5 linked regions of the Oryctolagus cuniculus genome follow. The protein of the gene in region 1 purifies or fractionates together with the protein of each later gene. This does not show direct contact. Links are inferred from orthologs where the notes say so. Each region holds a gene or a part of one and is shown in the gene's direction. Other genes may lie near its edges.

Region 1 (4,227 bases):
CACGGGAGGAGCTGCAGCTGTACCAAGCACTATGCAATGCAGAACTGGACTGTGTGCTCTGCCATGTTAATCAGCGTACCCGCTGCAGCTGGCTAGGCGGAGGTGCAATTCCAGGGGACCCAAGCACACCTCGGGAGGCAAACAGGTCAGTGTAGAACAGCAGAAAGAGGCCAGAGAGCCGTTTGCAGGTAGGATTTAAAAGGTCTATCAGTCAAGCACACAGGGAGATCTCGGGGTGAGACCTGGGATCAACTACACACAGGGATGGGGCAGCTGAAGAAACCCGAGCCCCGCGGAGGCCCACAGTAGGGAATTCTGATCTCCACAGGTGTGAGAGTTCTGTGGCTTTGTGCAACTGCAGAAACCAACCTAGCTCTTGGGGGCGGAGGGGAGGGCTAACATAAACCAGAAATTCAATGCCTGCAACTTTGAGGTCCATGTTGCTTTTTGCAAGCCGACAGCGTGCGTGCGGAGCAGGAAGGTAGCCGTGAGAGTGGCCCACACAGAGGAGCGCGGGGACTAATCGACCTAAACAACCCTTAGAAGCGAGTTTATGAACTTGACTCGCACGGGCTGCAGAGGGCAGTGTCTAGGTGGTTACACATCTCTAGCCCATTCCAGTTTCAGGGCCTTGCTAACTAGCAAGGAGCTCAGCAGGAAAACCAAGGGCACCGCCTTCCGAGCAAGCGAACACAGACTCGATCACCAAGCTACATCCGTTAAAGATTCAGTATGCAGCCCGTGTCGCTCCTGGTTTCCTCTTCGTAAACTCAAACTACACGGGGAGCAAAACTGTGCAAACGCGGGGCGTCTGAAGCCGACATCGGGGGTCCGACCCTGGGCTCGGGGGAAGCTGCTTCGTGCAGCCCTAAACGAACAGGAGCTTCCGCCACTGTCCCAGGGCCGCCAGGGCACCGCAGATCCAGCCCCAGGAGCCTGGTCGTGTAGGGCGTTACTGAGCAACCGCTCCAAGCCATTTCCTTCTATGTGAATATGAACGTCGAGGGCGGCCTGCCTCCTCCAACCCCGCCGACGCCACCCTGCAGCCTCCCCGCGCAGGGAGCACTCCACGCAGCGGCGCCCGAGCCCGCGACCCCCCTCCGGCCGGCCTGCGGGCCACGGCTGACCTCCCCGCAGGGCCGCACGCCACCGCGGACTGGGCCACGGCCGCCTTCGCGGGGCCACAAGGCGTGGGCGGGCAGGCCGAGGGGCGCCCCTGGTGGCCGGCGGGCTGCTGCAGAAGCCAGTCCCGGGCCATGCGGCCGCGCGGCTGGGGGCACCAGGTTGGCCAGGGCCTCCGGACCAGGACACGCCCGCCCCTCGCAGGGGCCTAGGTCCCCACTGGCGGTTACCCAGCGGCCGCCGCGAGCGCGCCCGTGGCCTTCCCGTCGTTACCTCGGGACGGGCCCGCGCACGCGCGGCGCCGCCGATCTTACGTCCTCCCTCTGCCGCCGACACGTTCGTTCCGCCCACTGCCGCCTCACCCCCCCCCCAACCCGGACCGCCCCTCCGCGCGCATAAATGGGCTCACCCACATCCGGGGATCTGGGAGACGGGCGAACGGGTCACGTGGTGCCGGGGTGTGGCCGGGAGGAAGCGCTGCTGCTTTGGGCCGGGTGCTGGTAAGAGTTTCCTGCGTTCGTGGCGCGGGTCTTGGTGTGACGGGGTCGAGTGCAGCGGCCGCGGCCGATGCCTTCACCTCACCCTTGGAGTGTGGCGGGCTGGAAGGCCCTGACGTGGCGGCCCCAGACCTCCCCCTCCTGGTTTCCCCAGTTGGTAGCGCCCGCCTCGGGCCGGAAGCCGTGGTTGTGGGTTGGCCTTCCCGGTACGGTGGCCTGCGAGGGTCATTTGTAGCGCCACAGAAAAGCTGGGGTGGTGTTTTGTCTTTGATCGTGTAAATGCTTAGTCACAAAGCTTTGGGAGACAGAGATGGACAAGACGTGCCCCTGTCGCAGGGAAGGCACGCACTGTCTGTCTCCCTTGTTGGCGCCAGGCACGGCGCCCCCAGGACAAGTAGGGCTGGTTGGCACACTGGTCAGCGGTGGCCCTCTGGCCGGTGCGGAGAGTGGTGTGACGGGAATTTGTTGATCAGGGCCGGGGTTCCCGTGAGGCATGCAGAACGGAGCCTAGCCTTGCTGTAGAGGTGGTGATTTAATCCTGAGTCCTGGGTCTGGGGTCCGGGTCCGGGGCGGGGGGCAACCTAGCCCGGACACCATTCCCTGCATGCAGTGGGTTCACCTGAAGTCGCCAGACTGCAGGCCAGCGGGGAAGGCGAGGTCTGATGCAGAGGCGCTAGGGGCAGGATTTCAGAGCGGGAGAGTGGGACTGGGCGGGCGGTGTTTGCGGACAGGTGGAAGAGACCTGCTGGGGGATCCTGGTGCAGGATTTGCACCTGCAGCCAGACAGGCGTGCCCGAGCCGCGGGCCGCAGAGCTGAGCTCGCTTGTGTCTGGATGAGTCAGGACCGAGGTCTCCGGAAGCTTTTATAGGAGGGGGCTCTGCGAGGGCCTGGGAAAACCAGCAAAGGGGACAGACTGCACCGCATATAACTGCACCTGAGCCTCAGGAGCCCTGAAGACAGGCTCCTTCAACGAGTCGCCGCGTGGTCCTGGGCCAGCCTTGGGGCCCCACGCGGCTTGCTGGTAGCGGAAGGAGCGCCTTTGCCGCAGTTCTGCCCGTTCACCGAGGTTAGAAACCTCTCCGCACCCCGACGCGGGTAGAATTACGGTCCAGGGGTTAGGAGCCGTCTTGCTGTTAGGAGAGCAGAGGCCCGTGGATGGAGTGGGATCCCGCCGCCCGCCGAGGTTTTCTGTGTGCGCCTCCGCAGTGTCAGATGCCGGGAGGGCCTGAGGGCGCCTTTGGTCCAGTGGAGTGCGGGCCGTTGGGATTAACGTGGAGGAACGCTAGCGATGAGGGAACCTGCCAGCCAGGCCTCTGCATGAGGTTGCAGCTGCTCAGGGGACAATGAGGCTGGCAGGAGGCATCTGTGCACTGAGTGCAGCTGGGAGTGGGGAGATACCATGGTCCCTGAGAGGGGGGAGGGAGACACCATCGTCACTGAAGGGCGGGGGGGAGATACCGTGGTTACTGAGGGGGGTATACCATGGTCCCTGAGAGGGGGCAGGGAGACACCATCCTCACTGAAGAGCATGGGGAGAGGGGATGGGAGGGGAGATACCATGGTCCTTGAGAAGGGGGAGTGGGGAGATACCATGGTCGCTGAGGGGGGCGGGATGGAGATACCCTGGTCTCAGAGTGGGGGAGCAGCCTGGGATGCCCCAGTTGCTCACCTGGAGGTGCCCCTCTCGGAGCTCGGCCGGGCCACTGTTTTAGGAAGGAAGCAAGCTTTCCGACGCTCTCGCCGTCCCTGGCCTGAGGCCTTGCGGCAGGCCTGTCCTGGCCACGTCCTAAGGTGTGAGCTGAGCGCGTGCAGTGCGCTCCTGTGCTGAGGTTTGAATCGGGGCAGGTGCAGACGGATGGATGAGTCTGTCCAGAGGCGCTCACTGCACAGCGTTTGTCGGCTGACCGGGCGCAGGAACTCTGGTTTTTAAGTTGTCACTTGACCGCCTGGAAGAGGACCTCTTCCTGCCTTCACGGGAGGCTCGGGAATGCCTGGGCAGTGCTGGTGCTAAGTCCACATCTTTCCTGCCGTCCCGTTTCAGAAGGAACCCCTTGGCGTCCGGCTCCGCCGAGATCAAAGCCACGGGAACATGGACAGTGAGGTGCAGCGGGATGGAAGGATCTTGGATCTCATCGACGACGCTTGGCGGGAAGACAAGCTGCCTTACGAGGATGTGGCGATACCGCTGGTAGGTGGCGATGGGGCCCGGGACCGTGGCTGGAGGCAGGGTGTCCAGGGGCTGTACCAGGAGGGCAGAGAAGTCGGAGCCGCGGGGGCGTATGAGCGTCTCAGCCCCACAGAGCAGTGTGGTTCAGAAAGCGGAGGTAACCAGCACGGCCAGGGGTCTTGCCAGGGCTGCGGCGCCACCCTCCGGAGCCGTGTTCTGGCTGCCACAGCACAGCCGGAGGGAGACCGGACAATGAAGTGTGCCGGACAGACAGGAGCAGCCGCATGGAAGCTAACCGGGGCCCCTGCTTCCCTCGGCCCTGTCAGCTGCCGACGTTTCCAGAACACGCACCTGTCCTGCGTTCCCTGGGAAATACTCGTAAGGTGCCTGGCTTGTCTTCATAGTGACTGGGCCAGCGGGCTTCGAGGGCACTGTTTTCT
Region 2 (4,220 bases), on another chromosome or scaffold:
ACTAATTAAATTTTAAATAGCTGGTGGTGACTATGTAAGTCAGCACAGAGGTCTCTGAAGTGAGTACTGGGTGACACTGCTTGGTACACCTGCACCCCCTATAGGATTGTCTGCTTTGAGTCCTGGCTCCTCTGCTTCTTGGTCCAGTTTCCCGCTAACGTGCATCCTGGAAGCAACAGGTGACGGCCCCAGTAGCTGGGTCCCTGCCACCCTTGTGGGAGACGCAGATTGAATTCTGAGCTTCTGGCTTTGACCTGGCCTAGCCCCAAGTAGTGTAGGCATTTGGGGAGTGAACCAACAGACAGAAGATCTGTGTCTGTCTGTCTCTGCCTTTCAAATAAAATGAAAATAAATAAAAATTTACATACAAAACCACGCCTCTGGACTTCCAATCCCAAACTCCTCCCAATACACCGGAAAACCTTTCCTATCAAGAATAAAAATTCCTAGTTGCCTTTTGAGATCTTTCCATGCTCTGGGCACCTAAGTTAACCCTTTCCAGTCACTGCCTTAACTCTTACCAGACTGATCAAGTATCTCTGGCCTTCACCTTCGCTTTTTTCTTCAAGATTTATTTTTATATATTTGAAGGGCATAAGTAGAGAGAGAGAAAGAGAGAGAGAATGAATCGATCTTCCCTCTGCTGGTTCACTCCCCAAATGACCACAATAGCAGGGGCTGAACCAGCCCAAGGCCAAGAGCCAGGAGCTTCTTCTGGGTGGGTGCCTGAGCCCAGGGGCTTGGGTCATCCTCCGCTGCTTTCCCAAAAGCATTAGCAAGGAGCTGGATCATAAGTGGAGCAGCCAGGGTTCCAACTGGCGCCCACCACTATCTTCTCTTGTAATTCTAACCATCCTTCAAAGCCCACTTAGCATCTTTCTCTCTTTCCTCAATCTTCTTAATTTTTACATTTGTAATGAGCTCTTTTGTCCCGTCATTTTCCCTGCAAATGGACGGCCATCTCCTTGAGGACAGAAGCCATCCTGTAACTTTGGGGCGTGGAAATCTTCCCAAATATCCCCCGAGCCGTGGATGGGTACTTCTGGAATGCATGAATGCCCTAAACTCGAGAGAAACACTTCTTGATTAATCTACATCAGCCCCAAACCCTGGCGTTTTGCTGTGTTACCCTTTGCGCAGTCTACCGTGCACCAACTCATTCGGAAAGGCGGAGTAGACCCGAGACCGCAGCCCCGCCACGTAACGCTCCCCGCCCGCTCCGTGACGCCACTCCCCGACTGCCGGTTGCCGATTGGGCGTGGTGCAGTCTAGCGTGGCCGATTGGGCGTGGCGTGCGTGGGTGAAGGCGTGACTGGGAAGAGGAACCTACGCGCCCGGGCCGAATCGGCAGTTTCCGGATGTCCTCGCCCATTTCCGGCAAACGGTCTCCTCCTCCACCGACCCATCTCGGGCATTTCCGACTTGTTTCGGGCCTTTCCGCCTCGCTTTCGCGCAGCTCGCTCCACTTCGGGTATTTCCGTGTCCCGCTCGGCGGGGCTCGGCAATCGCTCGGCCTCCCCCATCCCCCGGTAACGGTCGCTGGTGAGTTTAAATGAGCCGGGGCTGGCCGGGCCGAAGCCGCTACGGGGGGGGGCCTGAGGCACTGCAGAGAGTGGGCCTGAGCCTCAAGGATGACGGTGCTGCAGGAACCCGTCCAGGTAACGATAGCCCCCTTCTCCGAGGCCTGGCCCGCAGCCTCGGTCGGGAAGCCGCGTATGGCCACTTGGCGGCCTGCTGCGGCCTAGGCCCGACTGCCTCTCCCGCCTCCCCTGCTGCGGGTCCTGCCTCCGAGCCGAGGCCTTGCCCGCCGCCGCAGCCGTGTTGCTCCCGATCCCGCGCTGCCTCTGTCCCGAGCGGGAGCGGGTTTCGAGGATAATGGGCGCTCTCCCGTCCGAGCCCACGTCCGGCCAGCCCCTCCTGGTAGTCCAGGGGCCTGGCCTGGCTCGGACTGAGGGGAGGCGGCCCGAGACGCCCCTGGGTGCCCCCTCGGCTGAGGGATGCGTGAGGAGCACTTTGGATCCGAGCTTGTGTCAGCTCCGTAATGGCGGGGCAACTTTGCAGGGGTTTTTTGTTTTGTTTTGTTACACGGGTGAGGATGGAGGGAGGGAGGGAAGGTAGGATGGGTATTTTTAATATTAATTTCTGTGTTGGTAACAGACACGTTGCCTTTCTTGCCCAGTGACTTTCCCACCGGAGGAGGAGGATCTGAGAACTCCAAGGCCCAGTGCTGAGGGGCAAGCACCTATGCTGGGGGGGGGGGGGGTGGGGGTGGAAAGGGCAAACCTGGGTTTTTCCTTTACCGGTGGTGGGAATCGGGAACATTTGATTGTTCAAGTTCGTCAGGCGTCCAGGAAATGGAAGACAAACGGCTTTTCCGTCCATCACTGCCGTACCACACCAAGGGGTGCCTTGGGGCTCCGCGCTCTGTTGGCGTGGGAGGACCCTTGTGGGCTCCTACGAGGGTGATGCAGTGCAGGTCACTGTCCCCCCTGCCTGTCTGAAGAACGGAACCTTTTGTCCCTTGGTGATGGATCGGGCCTGGGAGATTTCATCCCACCATATATGGTCTTTGACTCGATCACAGAGGAGCTGACCTCTGTCAGCTGCTGTCACTCAGTCATAAACTTTGAAGTTATGAAGAAAATCAATTTTAGAAATCCCTTCATATTGTCCCTAATAGGCCTGTGATTTCAAATTGTAAATATTTTAATACATCAGTACTTCCATAAACATGCTTAATTTTTCTTCACAGCACGAAATTCTCATTCCTCCTGGTTTGGTTTCTTTTCCAGTTCTTTACCCATGTAGCTGTCAGTGTTGGAATTAATATAATGGAGGATTCTGTCTTAGGAAATTTACCTGTTTGCAAGTTGTATCAGTTTTTCCAAAGGTATTCCACAGCAGTTTCTCTTCCCAATATGGAGTAATTTTTAAGAATTTTTTAATCACAAAGTGATTAGTTTCTATTTCATACTCTTGTAATTTTGTCTTAGTGATTCCTTTTCTTTGGCCCTTAAAACCTTCTAAAGTGATGAACTAGTTACATTGATAGCATATAACCACTGTTTAATAATAATTTCAACTGTATAAAGTATGAAAAAGAAAATAAATGGCTTGCTTCTATATAGTACCCATCAGGTTTCCTATTTTTCTTTAAAATACTCTTAGCAATAATACACTTAGATATTTTAAGTCTTAAAAAGTCTAATTTGTCTCCCCACCCCCCCATGTTAGATTTGGGGGTGGTGGTAGGGAGTTTCAGGCTATGGCTAAGTGAGAATTTTGGTAGTAATTTGGTTGAGCTCTTGTAGTGTAAGAAGAAAGCAGTCAAGGGATCTGGAGCAGTGCGAGGAAAAGCAACTTTGGCTCCAAAGACAAATATCAAGGACAGTGGTGAAAATGGGAAAGAAGAGAATAAAAATAGGACAAGATATAGTCTTCTAAAAAATATATATATTGACTGATTGTGTATATTTAAAAAGGAATGAGAGTAAGTTGGAAATTTGTTTCTTTCTAGACTGCCTTAGGGTTCACTATATTGCCAGGTGTAGGAAATAGTAGAAAAGTTGAGCAACTGTTTACTTTTTTTCTTTAAACTTTTAATATGGAACTGCCTTCTCAAATTACCTCTCATAGAAAAACATAATATTTGAGTCTTTACAAAAATCATATTCTGAGACAAAAGTTCTTCAGTTACTTTCATAGTAACTTCGGGAAAGAGACACTGGCCTAAATGACTTCAATCAGTGCTAATTTGGTTGTATATAAAAGTCACCCAATGAATAAAATGTTTTAAGAGGCAGATATTTGTATAGATTTATCAGTAATTCCTGGGGTTAAGACTTTTCAAACATGTCAGAAGAAATTGTAAACAAGCCTTTTGAAAATCATTTTAATAAGCAATATAGTAATTGGGTACTATGTATACCATATCCTTTTACAGTTCATTAGGTAGAAGGAGTATTTTTGGCTTGGTATAAGATGACTGGGGACAGCATTTATCATGGATTCAAAGAGTACCGATTTCTACTGTATGAGAAATATAATGGTGAGGAGGGAACGAATAAAAACTAGTCTCGAAGATGACGGTAATCTAGACTAAAGTGGTAGCAGTGGAGTAAGAAGAAAATAGATAAATTTGAGAGATGTTTTAAAGATGGAAATTTAAGAAATAGTTGGGAGGTAGAATCAGTAAGACATGGAAATTGATTGGATATGGG
Region 3 (4,000 bases), on another chromosome or scaffold:
AAGCTCCTGCGTGGGCTTCCCCCATCCCACTCTTGACTCTCCTCTCCTAAACGGAGCCCCACGAGGACTCTGGCACTTACCATTTCTGTGAAACTTCTAAAATACTTTTCCTAAATATGTATATATCCATAAGCAATATATAGTAAGTCTTCAAACTTTATTAAAACGGTAACTACAGAGTGATATAATTACGCAACCTGCTTCAGCCACTCTTTTTTTTTTTTTTTTTTTCAAGATTTACTTTAGTTGAAAGGCTGAGGCTGAAAGAAAGGGAATTTGCACCTGCTGGTTCACCCCCTAAAAGCCCACAATGGTTGGGGCTGTGCCAGACTGCAGCCAGGGGCCAGGGACTCCCATGTGGTTCAGGGGCTCGGGCCCTTGTGCCATCCCCTGCCGCTTTTCCAGGCGCATGAGCAGGGAGCTGGATCAGAAGTGGAGCAGCCAGGACCTGAACCGGTGCTCACATGCTCCACCGTGCTACTAATGTATAAAGTAGTCTCATATTTCTCCTCTCCTGTGTAGGGTTCTTGCTATTATTTTTGTTTTGGCCAATGTTTAAAAAATTGGGACTAATTTTAAAATCCAGATTTATGATCCTAAAATTTAAGATCATGACTTCTGAAGAGTCACAGAAGAATTCCCGCACGGGACCGACAGAGGGAACGCGCCCGTGCTCACCCCTGCGCGCTGCTCCCCGTCTGATGGCTGGGTCCCTGCCCTTTATCAGGAGGCGGGCACAGCGGGTGACCCGCCAGCCGCGACGCCGCAATCCCGTCGGCTCGGCTCCGACCCAGCTCCCTGCTGACGGCCGGGGGAAGGCAGCAGACGGCCCGAGCCCTCCCCCTGGGAGACCCGGGCGGCCTTGGGGGCAGTGGAGACTCGTCCAGGTGCGCCTAACGCGGCCCCCGCCCCCGTTAGTGCTGGAGGTGCGCGCGACCCGGGGGTTCCAGGCCAAGCGGGCAGGTGCAGGCGCCGACCGCTCCGACAACTTCGCGGGCAGGTCGGCGAGCGCGCCACGCGGGAGCTGTGAGAACGTCCGTGGACCGTGCCACGCACGTGCTGCCACGGCTGCCCGCCATTCACCCTGACCTAGTGAGTCATTTAACGAGGGAAGCTGACCCCTTCGCACCCAGCGAGAAGTCCACTGCGGCCGGACACACGTCTCCGGAGGAGGGGGCGTGACGACTTTCGCCTGGTGCGCATGCGCGCTTGGAAGAACGGCTAGGTCCGCCTCTGGCGCCTGATTAAAATATTTAATTCCAGCCGTCGAAGAGTTTTACTCCACCACTTTTATTTTTGAAAAATTCCCATGCATTTCGTTAACTTCCGAGAGGCCCTAGAGGCCTCTGGGGCTCCCCTTATTTCAAATGAGGCTATATTCCTACTGGGGTGCCTTTCGTGCCAACGGAGAACCTCACTGAGGTCTGCCGTTTAGGATGATGACGTAATTGTCGCGTGAAAGACCGCCACAAGATACCGTTCCAGCTCTCAGGCGAAGGCGGTGGCGGCTGAGTTTCTTGCCACTCAGGCACTTCGGTAGTTACCTATTTCTCGGGGGCGGTGCCGCGTGTGGACCCGGAGGACCCCGGCGCCGCCGCCATTTTGGAACCTTCCTAGAGCATCCTTTACCGGCTTTCCGCGCCGCCGCCGCCGCCGCCGTCCGTGGCTTCGCCGGGCAGGATGAATGTGATAGACCACGTGCGGGACATGGCAGCCGCGGGGCTGCACTCCAATGTGCGGCTTCTCAGCAGCTTGTTACTTACAATGAGTAATAACAACCCGTGAGTTGAGGCGGGGAACGGCCTGGGGCTGAGGAGAAAAGCGGCGGCGGTCTGGGAGCGGGGGCCGAGGGGGCGGGAAGGAGCGGCCGCGGGCCCCCAGCGGAGGCTCCACGATCAGCCCGCCGGCTTGGAAGCGCAAGTTGGACGGCCTTGGCCTCGGCCTCGTCCCGGGCTCCCTGTAGGGGATGAGGCGAGCGGCGACTTCGACCGATGGAAGGCGGAGGCTCCGAGAACCACCTGGCGACGACTTCCCAGACGGGGGCGAGCGAAGGGTTTCTCGAGGCGTCCGTCGCCGGGCGACTGTCAGCCACATCGCCGGGCTGAACCCCGCGCCCCCGGCTCCTTCCCGCTCGCTGCAGCGCAGCCCCAGGCCTCTGGTTTCGATAGCCGATTCCCACCTCGGAGCCAGATTTGGTTCCTCTTGCGTGTGTCAGAAGGGCCCCCTTTCTCGCCTTGGCAGAGTCCTGGAACCGGGAGACTCGGGGCGGGGGCGGGGGCGGGGGCGGGGGGCGGCGCCCTTCTTGTTTCCGGAGCTGCTGTGGGTTGAGTCCCGCCACAGAGGAGGCACAGGGCCGGTTCCAGCCTTGAGTGCTTGTCGGTCCCCGCTGGGTTTCGGCTAAGATCCCAGCACAGCTCTCTCTGACCTGAGGCCTCTTCGCCGGACCCCAGCCTCCCTGACTGGTGTGTGGCCCTTGACTGCCCCAGGCTGGTTCTCACGCCTGGGCCTCTGCACCTGCCGTTGGCATGGTAACCCCCCCCCCCCCGCAGGTTTCAGCCGCCCGTGTCCCTCCTAGAGAGCTCTTTGACCATCAGGATTTTGTCCCGTTTTCCCACTTGGCTGTTTGATGCGGTAGTGGTTTTTACTTTTTACATGGTTCTTTTTAAACTCCGAGAGAGCACTCTCTCATCTGCTGGTTCACTCACCAGATGCCCACAACTGCTAGTCGGGACCTGAGCCCAGGTGCTGGGACCACAGCCCAGGTCTCACGGAGGTGGCTGGAGCCGTTATTCGAACCATCACTGCCGCCTCTCAGTGTCTGCATTAGCAGGAAGCTGGCGGCAGGAGCCAGAATTGAACCCGGGCATTCTGATGTGCGATGAGGGCGTAAAGGTCGGCTCCCCGTGCTCTGACCACCTGATGGAATCAGCGCGACATCTGTTGCGTATTGAACGTGCTAAGGAAGGGTGTGCACCCTCGGAGAGGTGAAGCACTTGTCCCGCTTGGCACAGCCAGGAAGTGAGGGAGCCGTCTGGCCACTGGTTCTGTGGCCTGAGTCTCCATTCCGACCTCTCAGTCTGCGACCTCCGGGTGGCAGTATGATGGCTGCTTCTGCTCTGTGTGGACCCGCCGGCTTTGGCCTCTTCATAGCTGGTGTAGGCCAGGAAGGAAAGGCCTCCCTCCATGGCTGCACAGCAGACACTACTCCCCTTCTCTGTTAGTGTGCTTTGGCCCTCGCCAGTGAGACCACCACCTGCCACCATCCGCTTAGTGTTGACAGTGAGGAGCTCTGGTCTGTGCCAGCCTTCTGTGTTTATTCTGGAACTTGTACTTGGTTCTGAGCGATTCATCAAGGCATACAGTTTCCAGCGTTGGTAATTAATGCATCAGTTAGTCATTGCTCTTGGTTCTCAGAGGTGTTACAGGGCTGTTAGAGCAGTTGATAACGCTGGTTAAGCTAAGTTTGGTTAGCCTGCGTGTTTTCATGTCGGGGTTGACTGGCAGTTTCCTACCTTGTTTAAGTTTTGACCTTTATTGTTTGTGTGTGTGTGTGTGTATATATATATATATGTATGTATTTTAAAGATTTATTTATTTATTATTTATTTGAAAGACGGAGTTACAGAGAGGCAGAAGCAGAGAGAAATCTTCCAAATGGTCACAATGGCCAGAGCTGTGTGTATCCGAAGCCAAGAGCCAGGAACAACTTCTGGGTCTCCCACATGGATGCAGGGGCCCAAGGACCTGGGCCGTCCTCCGGTGCTTTCCCAGGCGCATTAGCAGAGAGCGATATTGGAAGTGGAGCAGCTGAATCGTGAACCGGCACCCATCTGGAATGCTGGTGCTGCAGGCCAGGGCTTTAAACCACTGTGTCACTACACTGGCCCCATGCGCACACACTCTCACACACACATATATAAAGATTTTATTTATTTTTTGAGAAAGTTACAGAAGGAGAGAAAGGTCTTCCATCTGCTTGTTCACTTCCCAGATGGCCGCA
Region 4 (3,510 bases), on another chromosome or scaffold:
TATTTTTGGAAATGGATTTTTTACTTACTGCCTTATATCTGTTTTCTCTTAGGTTTTGCTTCACCGACTTGCAAGTTTTCATCGAGTTTGGAGTTTTCCACCAAATGAAAACACAGGAAAGGAAGTGACCTGTCTGGCTTGGAGACCAGATGGCAAACGTAATGATACTGTTATAGAAAAAATCTGTATTTTCACAAAGGGTGAAAATCAAATAGCCTCTAAAGAAAGCTTATTTCCAGAAAGAATTTATTGTTAGACTATACTGGAGTTATAAATGCCAATCGGGGAGCATTTTTCAAAAGCAGGCTTTAACATCTTTCCATAAAGCTCAGATTAATTCTCGGCAGAGGGCTCTTTTAGACGGAGTCCAGCTTCTTGGCAAAGATAACCCTGAGCTGAAATCCGATGGATCCACAGAAAGCTTCAGCTTTGTTCTTTCTGCTATCTCTGGTCCTGCACCCCTGGGCCCAGCACCACCTGCCACTCACAGTCAGCTCAGTTCAAGGCCTCCCAGCCGTGTATTTCCCACTGAGCGTGTGGCGCATCCGCTGTGCAGACCTGCTTGCCACTCCTAGGCTCCCTCAGCTCTGATTCCATTCCTCGCCCTGTTTCCTGGGGCCCTTGTGCTGTTGCTCATTATGGCTCTGACGATTGAACTCTTACTCCATGGGTTGCATGGACAATGCCAATCCTTATCTCAGCCGCTACACACAGGACAGTGATGTGTGCACACCACGGAGCTTGAACGTCATCTGTGTCTTTGATGCTTTGGGGATACTGGTTTTGTAGAATGGTATGAGCTCCTCATGGCTTATTTTGTTCCCCCAGATAAATATAATGAAGTGCTTTAAAATTCCCTGAAAACCTTATAAGTCAGAAATAACTTTGTTTTGGAGAACAACTTCTCTAAAATTTCTGATAAAATCCATACATGCAGAATATATACATTATACAGTTTTATCAGAGGGAGGTCATTCGATGCATGCTATTTTTAAAAAATGGATTTATTTATTTATTAAGTGGAGTTGCAGAGAGAGAGAGAGACCAAGATCCTCTGGTTCACTCCCTGAATGGTTGCACTGGCCAGGGCTAGGCCAGGGTGAAGATAAGAGCTTCATCCAGGTCTCCTGTGTGGGTGCAGGGGCCCAAGCACTTGAACCATCTTCCAGTGCTTTCCCAGGCACATTAGCAGAGAGCTGGATCAGAAATGGAGCAGCTAGGACTCAAACCGGTGCCCATATGGGATTTCAGCATTACAGGCAGTGTCCTATCCCACTGTGTCACAATACTGGCCCTAATACATGCCATTTTGTTGTGTAGTTTTTTTGTTTTTGTTTTTTATATTGCTTTTTTCTTGTCACTGTGGATAGATTAACCACATTAATGTTAAATGATTACATACTAATCCACTGTATTTCTATATTGTGATTTGCTAACTCTATCCTCATAGGTGGACATTTAGATAGTTTCTAGTTTTTGGTTTTTATAAAGATGCTATACATAAATATCCTGAACACTGGGAGCGCTGATACTTGGAGTTAGCTCCTTAGATTAATTCCCGGAAGTATGATGTCCAGGAATGCTTTAATGTACTATATTCATTCTATACTCACTTTGCTTAAAATATGAGGCAACTTCAAAAGTTCATGGGAGCTGACGCCGCAGCTCACTAGGCTAATCCTCCGCCTGTGGCGCCAGCACACCGGGTTCTAGTCCCAGTCAGGGCGCCGGATTCTGTCCCGGTTGCCCCTTTTCCAGTCCAGCTCTCTGCTGTGACCCGGGAGGGCAGTGGAGGATGGCCCAAGTGCTTGGACTCTGCACCCCATGGGAGACCAGGAGGAAGCACCTGGCTCCTGGCTTCAGATCAGCATGGTGTGCCGGCCGTAGCAGCCATTTGGGGGGTGAACCAACGGAAGGAAGACCTTTCTCTCTGTCCCTCTCTCTCTCACTGTCTAACTCTGCCTGTTTGAAAAAAAAAAAAAAAAAAAAAAATGTTCATGGGAGGGGGCCAGTACTGTGGCACAGCGGAGCAGCAGGTTAAGGCCCCAGCCATCAGCGACGGCATCCTATATGGTGGCCAGTTCGAGTCCCGGCTACTCCACTTCCGATCCAGCTCTCTGCTGTGGCCTAGAAAGGTAGTGGAAGATGGCCCAAGTCCTTGCGCCCCTGCACCCATGTGGGAGACCTGGAAGAAGCTCCAGGCTCCTGGCTTTGGAACAGGTCAGCTCTAGCCGTTGCAGTCATTTGGGGAGTGAACCAGCAGATCAAAGACCTCTCTCTGGCTCTACCTCTCTCTGTAACTCTGCCTTTCAAAAAAGAAAAAAAAGTTCATGGGGAGTGGAATTGAAAGTTTATTTTGGTGCAGAAAATTTTGAAATCCATTCATATATAGGATCTTCCAAAAGTAAATAGAAAATATGTATTATGAAAAAGCACAAATTTCAGACTTACTTTGCACCAAAGTAAACGTTTTTAAGATTTATCTGTTTATTTGACAGGCAGAGTTACAGAGAGAGGGAGGAAGAGGGAGAGAGAGATTGTCCTTCCTCTGGTTCACTCTTCCAGTCCAGCTCTCAGCAGTAAAACTTACTGCCCTCCTTGTAGGAAGTCTTAAAATCCTTAAAAAAAAATAAAGAAAGAAAGAAAGAAGAAGGTTTTAGGGGCCGGCGCTGTGGCCTAATGGGTAAAGCCACTGCCTGAAGCGCTGGCATCCCATATGGGCACTAGATTGAGTCCTGGCTGCTCCATTTCTGATCCAGCTCTCTGCTATGGCCTGGGATAGCAGTGGGAAAAGGCCGAAGTCCTTGGGCCCCTGCACCCGCGTGGGAGGTCCAGAAGAAGCTCCTGGCTCCTGGCTTCAGATCTGTTCAGCTCCGCCCATTGCAGCCATTTGGGAAGTGAAACAGCAGATGGAGGACCTCTCTCTCTTTCCCTCTGCCTCTCTGTAATTCTGCCTTTCAAATAAATAAATACATCTTTGAAAAAAGAAAAAAAAAAGAGAAGGCATTAATGACTTCTGTGCAGAAAGCATGCTAGATAATCAGCCACAGTCAGGATAAAAGGATTCCTCAGTAGTTGAAGGCCTTGTTTCCCATTATGGGTTAGAAACAGACAGAAAATGAAAATCCTTCAAAGCCGATGGAAACACGTCTTTCCTCTTAGATGTGTTTCTGGCCCAGTACGTCGTGGGGATGAGCTTGAATTGCGTGTCTGTTGAGACTTCTGTATTTTCTGCCTGATGGTGGAGTGCTGCTCTAGACTGGGGGTGCTTGACAAACCCTAGCTCCGTCACGGTGCTCCGGTAGCACTGCCGCACTTGAAAACCAGCTTGCGCAAGGATCTTTAGTTATTAGCACTTAAAGGGGGGACATTTAGGCAAAAAAGCCTTTATGATTAGATGTGTTTAAAATAGTAAAACTGGACAGTAGGCCAAGTACCTGTTTTTCTCAAACATTGCACTAAGTACTCTGTTTTTTTTCTCACCCTGTTCTAGTTTTGGCCTTTGCTCTT
Region 5 (4,067 bases), on another chromosome or scaffold:
AAAAGGCTCCTGGATGATGCTAGGTAGTGTAAGCAAAATATGAGTCTATAGATTCAAGTTTAAAAATTGAAAACTTGTAACATAAAACTACAGCTATCTAAGCTGAGGAAGGCACGCATTACAGAAAACTGGAGGTAAAGGTAAAGATGGACTGAAATCTGTCATCTTACCGGAGGTTATATTAATATTTCCTGCTTCAATTCCTGCTTTAAGTCCTTCTTTTCCCAAAATCCCAGATTCTCCTTTGGCCAGCCGCTCCCTTTCCTTCTCTTCCAGACTTCCATAATAAATGTGTGGCTTCTTCACCACCGGAGCCACCAGGTCATCAGGCGCTTTCGTTTTGGTGGCCTGCTAGACCGAAGGCTTCGATTAATTCAAGGCTCGATCTTAGCAATCCACGAGGCTTCCCTAAAGGGTGAAGTTCATCCTGACCTCCCCCAACAAAAGGCCAAACTGGGCGCCAGGGAAGATGCGCTTCACGGACCCGCGGGTGTGGGGATGGGGGCGGGAGGGCACGTCAGCCCTTCAATCACTTCCAGTTTGACAGCTTGAAGAGGTGGATTAAACCCGGTTCTCCGGGTGGTTCTGCCTCTGGAAGACGATCACTTCATTCTGTTGGAAGTGCAAGCTCTTTTTGGGTTTCGTGATACTTCCAGGGTTACCGTTTAACACGGGGGGAAACACCAAGGGTAAGGTAAAAGAACCGGCGTGGTGCCGAGGGAGGGGTAGCCAGTGACAACGCTCCTGCTCGGTCCATCTCAAGCGTTTTGAGACCTGTGGTAGCAGAGCAGGAGCCGGGAGGCCTCATCCCAATTCCGAGGTCTCCTATAGACAGCCACCGTGGCCAAGACACTCGCCCACTCCGGAGCCCTGGTTTGGACCAGTCGGAAGTGGTGTTTGCCGTTCGGGGCTGCGGTGGGACAGGTGCATACGAGTAACAGCACATACACTCGCTCAAGGGTCCGGGGAATGCTGCTCTGCTCTGGAGGGCAGGACCGAGTCCGGCAGCCCTCCACCCTGTCAGCCCGCTCCCTAACGGACCCTTCCCCGAGGGACCCCCACCCTCTCGGCGCTCCCTGCCGCAGTGAACTGAGATCCCGAGCTCCGTACCGTGGAGGACGCTCGTGACGAAGCCATGCTGGGCTCCGCAGCAGCCAAGCCCCAGAAAAAGCCAAGCTCTCCGTTTCAGACCATCCACCGCGCGCCCAGCAAAGCGGAACTACGTCACGGACCGGAAGTGAAGTCGGGCGCCGACGCAGCGCCCTGAGCGGCGCGGAGCATCATGGGAGTCGTAGTAGTTACTATTCTGGTCGCGTGGAGGGGCATGACCCTTAGAACCTCCGAGAAAAGCTCGCGGGAGACGAGGTTCTGGAGGGGAGAGGGGCGCGAAGCACTCTGGGAAGTGTAGTCCAGTTGGGCTCGCAGTAGATTCGTGGTGGGAGCTGAGGTTCCTTCCGGGAAGGGGCTGAGCGGGCTTGGAGAGAGAGGAAGGTGAGTCAAGTCGCGCGGCCGGGCGCTGAACTCTGGAGCTTACCGAGGGCTCCTAGAGACTTTACGTCGTCCCGGGGCGGAGGCCCATGTTGCCATGGAAACCATCGCCCGGACCGCTGAGTGTGGTCCTGGGGCTGGGCGAGGAGGGTTGTCGGGGTGGGGGTGGGGAGGAAAGTCCTCCCGGGGCCGGGGGCTCCGGCCGAGCTGGCTCAGTTTGCGGTGGATTTGGGCAGCGGTGAGAGATGAAGCTCAAAGAGCCCTCTAGCGTCTAAGTGAAGTAAAGAGCGGGCGAAGCTTCGGCCCGGTTTTGCTGTTGCTTTTGTTTCGTCTTCAGCCGGGTCTTTGTGTCAGACTGAGTGAGATGATGGCTAGGAAGGCGTCGGGTAGACCGCAGCCGACTCTCCTGCATAGCCCTGTGCTCCTCTGGGTGCGGGGGCATCAGCGATGAACAAGGCATGTAGTGGGTGGGAGACTCAAAATGTTCGTGTTTGCAGAGCTGGAACACCCCCCTCCCCCATCGTTATCTCTTCCGCCCCCCGCCCCCAACAACTGCAGTCATAAGTGCCTGTTATTTATTGAGCGTTTACTGAATACCACAGTTGTGTAGCCAGGAGCTTAATCGGCATTACGCCATTCAATTCAGACAGCAACAGAGTATAGAGGCAAGGAAGGTCTGGTGCGAGACAAAGATCGGAAACTTAAAGGGATCGGAGCCAGCACTTCAGCCGGGTCTCTACCCTGCTTCCTAGTGGTGGTGGTGGGCTTTTCGTTTTCGCAGAAAAGTTAAAATGCATAGCGATCTTCTCAGTATCCCTTCCTCACCCCATTTGGAACTTCGTTTTCCTCTGCTGCTTGTCGGCATTGGAATCTGGTGGACAGTATCAGATTTAAGTCAAAGCAAATTGAAATGTAATGTTTTGTCCTGGAAGAGGGGCAACCGGGACAGAATCCGGCGCCCCGACCGGGACTAGAACCCGGTGTGCCGGTGCCGCAAGGTGGAGGATTAGCCTAGTGAGCCGCAAAAAAAAAAAAAAAAAAAAAAAAAAGTAATGTTTTGTGTTACCACTGCGTGTCTGTCTCAGGCTTCATGGGAGGAGGAGGAAATGTTTCTTCTTTTATGCACTTCTCAGTCCCCGGTTTCATCCTGGGTACAGCCAGTGGCGTTCATTTACATCAGTCTCATTTAATCCTCACCCCACGGTCCTATGTGTGACTCCTACAGGAGGCCAGACTGGACAGCTTGCTTTGACTTCTTTCTCTGTAAAATAGGACGATCTTGCCAGCCTCACAGGGTTTTCGTATTAAAATAAGCAAGTGAAGAATGGTGATGGAAAAATTAGCCCAGTGCTCACTCAAGTTCATTTTACTTTAGTTGTTTCCTATATTCAGGGAACGTTTACTGACTGCCTAATGTACATACACAGACTCTGTTGGGTGCCATGAAGGTGCCCCTCAACAGATACTAAACGTGATGGGGAGTTCTGTTTGCTCAAAGAAAGGGTTTTTGTTAAAAGTATTGTCTTGACTCAGACTGTTCTCTTGAGCTTCTTTGTGCACTTGTTCTCTCTGCCTGCTCTTTAGATGTCGACTAAGACTCCATTTAGACATCATTTCCTGCCATAGGCCGTGTTTAACATCCCTGGCCACCACCCCACACCTAGTCCAGCTTTCGGGCCAGCATGGCTGCCATTGTATTCTCATCAGTGTTCTTGCTCCCCTCGCTGTTAATTTTCCCCTCACGTGTCTGTTTCTCCCACAGGTTGTGTCTGTACCTTTTAATTTTGTAGCCGGAGCACAAGAAGTCTTTGCTAATGAATGATCTGTCTGGTTGATTGAGACACTGAAGAGAATCTTGTGAATTGGTGAGTTCAGTTTTGCCTAGAATTTTCTTATAGGCAGCTTGCTGGTGTTCAGTTTTTTCAGAAAGAGGTTTTTGAATCACCGCGTTGTGGATCTCCATCATGAAATACAAATGTAAGAAGCATACACCTAAAGCCTTAAGAAATCTATGTGTGGGGCTGGCATTGTGGCACGGAAGGTAAACCACATCTTGCAATATGGCATCCCATATCAGAGTCTTGGCTGCTCTGCTTCCAGTCCAGCTCCCTTCTAATGTGCCTGGGAAAGCACCAGATAATGGCCGGTGTGTGTGAACCCCTGCCACCCACTTGGGAAACAACAATGGAACTCCTGACTCCTGGCTTTGGCCCGGCTCATCCAGAGACACTGTGGCCATGGGAGTAGTGAACTATGGTGGATGAGAGATCTCTGTCTCTCTGTGCCTCTCCATCTCTTTGTCACTCTGCCTTTCAAAAAAAGAAAGAGATCTATGTGTGAATCCAAGTTTGATTTTGCTATTGCCTTCACTTTAGTGTACATGTGTAGAAATTGGCCTTATGTATGTAACTGCAACGTATCACCTCCAGTTTTTCTCTGTGTCATTTTTAATAGCTCATAGTTGATTGGATCTGCTCTCAGTGTAGATTTCAGTATGCTGCGACGGAAACCCACGCGCTTGGAGCTCAAGCTTGATGACATTGAAGAGTTTGAGAGCATTCGAAAGGACCTAGAGGTAA

Evidence for each region.
Region 2: the proteins of ANAPC13 (region 1) and CDC27 purify together in Homo sapiens (affinity purification with mass spectrometry; 5 studies listed by BioGRID and IntAct, counting the BioPlex papers as one, with this or other methods). This does not show direct contact. The link is inferred for Oryctolagus cuniculus from reciprocal best matches to the Homo sapiens genes ANAPC13 and CDC27.
Region 3: the proteins of ANAPC13 (region 1) and ANAPC7 purify together in Homo sapiens (affinity purification with mass spectrometry; 3 studies listed by BioGRID and IntAct, counting the BioPlex papers as one, with this or other methods). This does not show direct contact. The link is inferred for Oryctolagus cuniculus from reciprocal best matches to the Homo sapiens genes ANAPC13 and ANAPC7.
Region 4: the proteins of ANAPC13 (region 1) and ANAPC4 purify together in Homo sapiens (affinity purification with mass spectrometry; 9 studies listed by BioGRID and IntAct, counting the BioPlex papers as one, with this or other methods). This does not show direct contact. The link is inferred for Oryctolagus cuniculus from reciprocal best matches to the Homo sapiens genes ANAPC13 and ANAPC4.
Region 5: the proteins of ANAPC13 (region 1) and CDC26 purify together in Homo sapiens (affinity purification with mass spectrometry; 4 studies listed by BioGRID and IntAct, counting the BioPlex papers as one, with this or other methods). This does not show direct contact. The link is inferred for Oryctolagus cuniculus from reciprocal best matches to the Homo sapiens genes ANAPC13 and CDC26.

Annotation. Positions count from the first base shown.
Region 1 is NC_091435.1:146,958,761-146,962,987, forward strand, and holds the start of ANAPC13 (anaphase-promoting complex subunit 13), read left to right. Parts: upstream 1-1,417; 5' UTR 1,418-1,622; exon of another isoform or gene 1,623-1,663; intron 1,664-1,801; exon of another isoform or gene 1,802-2,686; intron 2,687-3,661; 5' UTR 3,662-3,709; coding exon 3,710-3,808; intron 3,809-4,227. Other genes in the region: CEP63 (centrosomal protein of 63 kDa), read right to left, coding at 1,128-1,258. UniProt on the Homo sapiens protein: Component of the anaphase promoting complex/cyclosome (APC/C), a cell cycle-regulated E3 ubiquitin ligase that controls progression through mitosis and the G1 phase of the cell cycle.
Region 2 is NC_091448.1:16,932,743-16,936,962, forward strand, and holds the start of CDC27 (cell division cycle protein 27 homolog), read left to right. Parts: upstream 1-1,419; 5' UTR 1,420-1,631; coding exon 1,632-1,658; intron 1,659-4,220. UniProt on the Homo sapiens protein: Component of the anaphase promoting complex/cyclosome (APC/C), a cell cycle-regulated E3 ubiquitin ligase that controls progression through mitosis and the G1 phase of the cell cycle.
Region 3 is NC_091452.1:8,083,784-8,087,783, reverse strand, and holds the start of ANAPC7 (anaphase-promoting complex subunit 7), read left to right. Parts: upstream 1-1,194; 5' UTR 1,195-1,680; coding exon 1,681-1,781; intron 1,782-4,000. UniProt on the Homo sapiens protein: Component of the anaphase promoting complex/cyclosome (APC/C), a cell cycle-regulated E3 ubiquitin ligase that controls progression through mitosis and the G1 phase of the cell cycle.
Region 4 is NC_091433.1:20,489,742-20,493,251, forward strand, and holds part of ANAPC4 (anaphase-promoting complex subunit 4), read left to right. Parts: intron 1-52; coding exon 53-158; intron 159-3,493; coding exon 3,494-3,510. UniProt on the Homo sapiens protein: Component of the anaphase promoting complex/cyclosome (APC/C), a cell cycle-regulated E3 ubiquitin ligase that controls progression through mitosis and the G1 phase of the cell cycle.
Region 5 is NC_091432.1:216,878,117-216,882,183, reverse strand, and holds the start of CDC26 (anaphase-promoting complex subunit CDC26), read left to right. Parts: upstream 1-1,257; 5' UTR 1,258-1,491; exon of another isoform or gene 1,492-1,944; intron 1,945-3,250; 5' UTR 3,251-3,353; intron 3,354-3,942; 5' UTR 3,943-3,982; coding exon 3,983-4,063; intron 4,064-4,067. UniProt on the Homo sapiens protein: Component of the anaphase promoting complex/cyclosome (APC/C), a cell cycle-regulated E3 ubiquitin ligase that controls progression through mitosis and the G1 phase of the cell cycle.